Styela clava: one gene and its partner. The protein of the gene in region 2 interacts with the protein of the main gene of each other region in a pairwise test. Links are inferred from orthologs where the notes say so. Each region holds a gene or a part of one and is shown on either strand. Other genes may lie near its edges.

Region 1 (3,762 bases), on a different chromosome or scaffold from region 2:
ATACTATTTTCAGGTTGTGCGCCATCTTGGTGCACATACTTCTGGAGGTCCCTTTTCACCTAACCCTAAAGCCAACCATATCCACATGGAAAATGTTCTAAATTATGGTACCCAAAATGTGTCACCAGCAGGGGCAGACCTGCCATTACAGCATAACTGGCTACATACGTTGGTTTGTGTTTTTAATTTGCTGCCGTGGTAATCCAACTCAAAACAAAGTGCCCCGAACTCATTGCAAAATTTTTTTCTGCTTCACACTGTTTCCCTGTTTTGCGCTCTTTCCCTCTGTTTCGCGCTCTTTGCGGTGTTTCGCGCTGTATTCAGTAAGTAGTAAGACCGCTGGTTAAGAGCCTTGTCCAGAGTAAAAAAAAACAATGAAGTAAACTTATACCTCTACAGTTCCGTCAGGAAAGTTGAATCTTTTCTGAACCATGGCTGTGAGCTCACGGATTCTGCGACCCTTCTCGCCAAGAACATTCTGTGTTCTGAAATATTAGAAATTGTGATTTTTGGCAGTTGTTCAAAAGGGAATGTGGCATTTTGCTAAAAAACATTCAGAAGTAGACCAATCTATGAGCAAAGTTAAAATACCACGAGCCACTAAAACTATATCAAATTAGGTTTAATGCCAGTTTACCATTTATTTGATAAATATGCTAATTTGGACATCAATAGTGGTTAGAGCAAGCATATTTTTGCCTACACCATCCAATGTAATTATTCAAGAATCGTTTCACGTTGGAATCATTGTATGGGACACTCTAAACAACCCAGATTTTGGGCATTATAGATTTTAACATAAATTACAGTATACACCAACAGCTCAGGTAGAGTAACATGATTTTAATCATTCAAGAAGTATTTCGGTGTCCTAAGTTTAGTCATCATTGCTGTGGTGCATACTGAAGACCGAGGTCTGCAAGAAACCTTTAATACACTCGGGCCAGATACAAATAACTAAGTGAAATCGTGGGGCACACCTTCATTTAACATCAGCTTTTTAAATAGTTTAAAGCACAAAAATTTTGGTTGTTCAATTTCAATAATTTTACACATGATTATTAAGGCTATTCTGTTAGTTTTGCACTAAGAATCTAGATTTTCACGCGATGTCAGTAGGTTCGAACGCAGGCTCGGGACGATAAGCGTGCCGTAGTCACTGATTGCACACTGGAACTACTGGATTTGCATGCCAGATTTCTGGTAGATAATGGACATGAAATCCAGTGTTCTGGTGAAGTAAACGACTTACTTGCTTAAATAACGCCTAACAAAATTGTGATGTGAAAAGAACGCTGTAAATGCTCAAATAACACCCAACAAAAATGTGATGTGGAATTTTAATGTGAAAAGATCGAAATTACACCCGTACGGTTTTAAAACGTCGCCGTCGGAAAGGTGGACGACCTATCTGTCCTCTTGTGAGTCGAGTTGTCTGCCTCCAGTTTGTCCCATGCGCGCAACCGTATTGCGCTCGGGCAAGACTGACTTTTATTTTAAGAAGAAAAAATGAAAATTTGGGATGTATTTTCACATTACATTTTTGTTTAGCGTTATTTAAGCAATTACGGCGTTTGCTTCACGAGACTCAAATCTCTACAGGAACTACACGAGATCCAAGGAAAAAACATCTAAGAAATAAAAAGTCAGCTTGAAGCTTCGGAAAACAATGCATCACCTTGTGGCCATGATGATGATCTCAGTACGAGATGGAGTGACACGAACTTCGACCCCACTGTAACCATCCTCTGCCAACTCTTTCCATAACAATTGATTCAATTCAGCCTTGAATAGGCCATCGCGAACGAACTTAAAAAAATGAGGTTGATATTATTTAGTTTAGTCAAAGTAAGCAGGATTTAATCACGGTCAGTTTAAGATTAAATATTATAATTTTAACTGGATCCCAAATTTATTTGCTAGATGAAACTAGAGAAAATGAGTTTCCCTGTTGAGTCAAGCTTTCTGTTCAGAGCTGTTTTAGACGGTATTTGTTTAGCTTAGCTACGTTTTCATTCAATACCTCATGCGAAATTTCAAGAGACTTATGAATTTAACCCAATTTTTTTTTTTAAAACAAGTATCAACCAGAAGTGCAAAATTCTTATTGGTAGTGTGGCTCAGCTAGAGTAACTTAATTCTAATCATTCAAGAAGTATTTCGGTGTCCTAAGTTTAGTCATCATTGCCACACTGCAGATGAATCCATTACATTGATAGCTATAAGCGTGCGCGCGAAAGCAAGCGAGGATGAAGTATCTCATTTTTATCCAAATACATCGAGATAACTGAATCACTACAAATCGTAAATTTACAAAATATGTATCAACTAGGTAATAAGGTATACAAAATTATAAAAATACGAAGCAAATAGTTGAATAAATTCCTAAAAACTAACCAAAATACCTTGCGCTTCTTAGAGACTTGTGTAGCCATCGTCGCAAGTTCGGAAAAGGACGGAAGAGCGAACCACTGGAGGACGCGTCTGAGTTTCCATAAAAATTCTCACGTTTTGGGTCATTGGTTTGAAGAAAATTTAGAAAGAGAGGAAGAGAAAGAAATTTAATAAAATTCATCATTCTATATTGTACATTTTGTTATTATTAATAAATATGTGAGCTATTGCAGAATTCTGTAATACTGAGGGACAACAATTCTCATAATGTTAATTTGTTATATTACCAAGCAAATATTGAATTTCTTTCTAATTTTTCAAACTTGAACTCATTTTATTCTTTTTTTATAATTATGTTTAATAGGTTTATATTTGATATTTAGTACTGTAGCAAAATAACTGGTTGCATAAAGCATTTACAAGCAAATCAAAGTCATTGATGACGTTTCATCGCTCCCTCGAGTCCGTAACAAAAATATTCTCTATTTATTGTATGTCTTTTATTTATTTGTATTTGGTTGACAAATCAACGAATCTATCTTTCTTTCTACATACTGAACATATAAAAACAATTATTTATATTTTATTTTATCTATCTTATGTCGAAAAATACGCTAATAGTGGTATGGTAAGTACACAGATTGGAACGGTATGTTAGTCGTTGGATTGGAACAATAAACTGACGGATACAAAAAATATAAAAGCATAAAATGAAGTAAAAAAAGGAGCGGTTCATAAACAAAGCTGTTTAATATACATTACTTTTTTTAATTTATATTGAAATATCAATTTGAAAATATCTGTATTCCGATATTTTCAAATTAAATTTTTCTCATGATCGCGAAAGATGTACAGTTAGAATTATGTAGCTGTTCATTGAACCCTATCGCCAGAGGACAAAAGTTCATTTGTTGCAAAATTTTCAGTTGAGTTAGCGAAGAACTTCGGAGTTTTCTGGCTTCCGAGCGATGGTTTTCGTCAGGAATTTCTTACTTCAACAACTAAAAGAAAGACCAAATTTGAAGAACGTGAAAAATCCGAGGAATTATCGGTTAATCGCCGCGTTTGTAGTATTTCTTGGAGCAGCTTTTGGACCGATCTACATTTACCCGCTGTATAATTCGAAAGCTTATCGTAAGTTGAGTTTTGCCAGTACTGTTAGGCTATGTCTTTTATTTCGACTAGATTTATTGACTCATGCCTGCTTGTTTTTTAATTAAGGCTTGCATATGCCGATATGGCATAGTTTTTGAAGCTAAAATTTGGTTTCCAAGATGTCCTGAAGTTTGGTTAAATATAGCAAGGTCGTCTGGCACGATGGCAGGAGGATGATGCTGTGCTTTTCATAACTTAATCAATTGCAGCTTG
Region 2 (3,762 bases):
ATTATAAATTTTTTTAAATTCTGCTTAAAAAACAACGTCGTTTTGCAGTCATCTAACGTAACTCTCGCGACCAAATCTTTTTTGTATTGTATGGCATGGTCTTGGCGACGAATTTATTGCCGACTAAATTTTAATTGTGTTTTAGTATAAGTTATTTTCTGTTTGTTGGTTTCTAAACTTTACAAACTTGGGTAGCAATTACTATTAATGTGAGATTTGTGCATATGAACGATTGAATATCGCGACTGGATGTCCGATATCTGAGAATGCGTACTTATCTTTCAACATTAATTTTCAGGATATCAGCGTTCATGTGGTCGAATAAAAATTATTTATCAAATGGATTGGTATTTCGAGACACTCTCAAAATTATTTGGGATCCACTATCATATCATTCGTTTATTTTTTATATTCATGTTTTTTTCAAGAATCACCCTCGTTATATTTCGTGTACCTCCGCAAAAGAAAACTCTTTGGTGTCATCGTTCCTATTAGTGTATTTGAAATTTATGGAAACCTCGCAAGTGGCGTTGTGATGCGAATATTTGATACTAGGTCAGCAGCATTACAAAGAGTGCTATTTATGAATACTTAAAGTACATGGCATTCCTAAACATTTTGCCAATATATGATGTTTTCTGCCCGATTTAAACTAACTCGCACGCAAACCAAAGCATGTCAACATTTAAAAATTACTTGTCTTTGGGTAAGCTCTGAAATAGTATAATATGAATGTAAATGATAAATTAGGTCACGCTAGCTCACGAAACGGGAGGATTTTCAAAGTGATCTTGTGTAATATTTCGAAGAAAAAAGTTTGAAAGGAAAGTAGGTCAACCTATCTCCTAAAACAGGGGAGTATCCTGCGTAATATTCCGGAGGGAACGTAGGTTAACCTATCTTTTAAAACAGCGGGTGGCGACTTTCAAAGTGGTTCAAAATCACAAATTAATAATTATCAGATTAGGTTTAGTGATAATCGGAAAGTTGATTTTCCAGCGCACCTAACCCTAATTAGTTGAATGCTATTTATATTTTGGGGGGGGAGGGGGAAATTATTTTGCACGGGATTTGTACAAACGATCCACCCTGTAACTAATATGGTTTCCAGCCTGCCTCGTGTCTGTTAGATGGAAGGAGTAACAAATGTGAAAGCCTTTGCTGTTCATGCGAGTAAGCAACTGACACCGTGATACATTGCATGAAAGTTTTGTCCCCGGCAGGTGTTAGCAGATGTCCTTTCGTTGCCGATGAATTCGCTTGTTTTAATTAAACATGAATTCGCTTAAAGGGAACTCTGTTAACGGAAAGGCTTCTCTTTAATTCATAATATTAACCGGAGGAGCGCTTTTTCGAGTATCTATGTCGTTTTAAATGGGTTATATGAAAGGCTAGGGCACCTAACTTGTTAAAATCGGCAAAAGCACTTTCGCACTTTTTTTTTCGACTGCCAAGCACTTTCGCACTCATAATTCGCTTAGAGTTAACACTGTTTCCAATATATTTCAAGCCTTCAAAAATTCAAGAAAACTTATAGGTATTATTAAAAGTTCTCAACTATTGCCTACTTCTTGTATATTTTCATGCTGTGAAATTGATTCATCCAGCGGTACAAGAACACGTTGAGGTGCTTCATCATCTGCAGCCAGAGGATCTTTCTGACTCCTGAAAAATATAATGGATGAGAGCAGGAAAACAAATAAATATTTACAATTTCAAAAGAATATTACTAAATCACAGAGCAAAATATAGGAAGTCAAAAACAATAACTTCACTTTATAACAATTTGGAATACAATATTATAACTGTGTAACAATTTTTTAAATCAAAAATTTTATTGAGTCATAGTGTATACTACACTATTCTCCTTATTAGATTTGGTAGCTATAATATGAATGATTCAAGTTTGTTACCTGTGGACAAGTTGAAACGTGAATGCCTTTTTCTTATCAATGAACTTTCTCTTTGTTTTATGAGGCTAAAAAGTGTAAAATATATTTATATTTCCCAAAAAATAATAGGAAACAACAGGTGGGAAATTTCAGATTGAACACTCAATATTACATACTAGACAAAAATAAGTGAAACTGTGAAATACTATGAATATTTTCATTTAAAGAAAAATGTCTAGTTCTGATTTTCTACAGTATAAAAATTTGTAACATCTGTAAATATATAGATTTTCAAATCTTTTGTTGAATACAATCCAATTTATAACACATTCAATATTCAGTTTCAAATAATACGCAATACTTCTCGAAGAAATCTGTGATAGGAAGTGCTTACCATGTTGTAGAATGCCTATATCAGTCAAACAAGAAGTGTTTAATATGTATGTAAATGAAATCTAGATATTACAGTCTATAAATAAAAATACCAAAAAGCCTGTTATTCAATGTCGGACACATATTATGCTTATCATATCCTTTATAATCAAAGTTTACAAAAATTATTAAATGATATTTTACCGAATTGCTATATTAAAAGCACCAGCATCAAAATACAACCAAATATTCTTGTAAAACCCTCTTTGATAATAATCAAAAACAAAATATTCAACAACCAAACATTATGAATGCATGCATATTAAACAAGCCATGTAATTTTATCAACATGGTGATATTCAATTGTAAGACAACAATAATAACAGTGCGTTATTCTGCGGTAAATAGAGTAACGAATGCTATATTATATCTGATACAAAAATATTTGGCTACCCAATATCTGTAAGATACAGGAGCTGGAATACTCGTACTTTTCATTCCATATTTAGATACTTATTCAGTGATAAATTCAATGAATAATTACTATTTTTTGAAGACTTAATATAAGCCTCGATGTAATCAGTAAACAATTTTTGTCAACTCAATGCAATACCAAACTGAAAACGAACTAAGAGCAAAGAAAAAGATTCATATTAATCTCTAAATTATTCCAAAGCAACTATTTGATTCGCTTTGGACATCCCTGTTTATGTGCGCCAAAATTAATGTGCTTACTATGAAGAAATTTATTATTAGAGGGAAGGGGTTACAAATTTTGTTTGTTCTTTATAGAAGACATTGACGCGGGTGGTGAAACATTTTTTGAAGTTTTAGAAAATATTCTTTTCAAAAATGATGGTCCTCTGTCTTGACTTCGAATGTCATCTTTTTTATCATCAACATACATAATTCGTGAATATTCAGGAACTGCTTCAACTTTTGGATCAACTTTTACTAGTTTGAAAAAATATCCACAATCACAGGTTTGAGGATCGCCTTCATTGACATAAAACCAGTTCACTGTACAAGCATCAGGTGAGCAGGTACATCCCACAATGCATTTTTCTGTTGGAGATGCAACAAGAATTGGATCTTCTGGGCTTTGCCCCTTATTTTTAATCTGTTTGATTTCGAGTTTGTCAATCCTTTCTTCTGATTCAAATTCTTCAAATTTTTGCTGAACACTTTTATTTAAATGAATCCATGATTGTTGTTGAGAAAAGTTAAAAACAGGTGGTTGAGTAAATAATAAAACTCTACTACGAAAAACTGTGGCATATGCAACACGAAGCATAGCCATCCTATCGAATATCAAACCTGAAATAGAGGGATAGTAACATTATAATATTCAAGGCTGAATTAACAAGAATAGATAAACTGTTTAATATTTCGGCACACATAACAACATACAAGATCTAATGAACTTTCAGACTTAAGTAATATTTACCCTCAAGAAAGCGAAAATTAGCAGTATTACTATGACAATTCAGCAGGAAAA

The links.
Region 1: the proteins of protein LTV1 homolog (region 2) and small ribosomal subunit protein uS3-like interact in a two-hybrid assay, tested with the Caenorhabditis elegans proteins (2 studies listed by BioGRID). The link is inferred for Styela clava from reciprocal best matches to the Caenorhabditis elegans genes T23D8.3 and rps-3.

The regions. Positions count from the first base shown.
Region 1 is NC_135263.1:1,582,793-1,586,554, reverse strand, and holds the start of small ribosomal subunit protein uS3-like, read right to left. Parts: upstream 2,538-3,762; 5' UTR 2,436-2,537; coding exon 2,406-2,435; intron 1,810-2,405; coding exon 1,679-1,809; intron 486-1,678; coding exon 392-485; intron 1-391. Other genes in the region: small integral membrane protein 20-like, read left to right, coding at 3,363-3,528.
Region 2 is NC_135257.1:4,847,590-4,851,351, reverse strand, and holds the start of protein LTV1 homolog, read right to left. Parts: upstream 2,364-3,762; 5' UTR 2,290-2,363; coding exon 2,287-2,289; intron 1,979-2,286; coding exon 1,914-1,978; intron 1,666-1,913; coding exon 1,569-1,665; intron 1-1,568. Other genes in the region: uncharacterized protein LOC120346059, read right to left, coding at 3,031-3,564.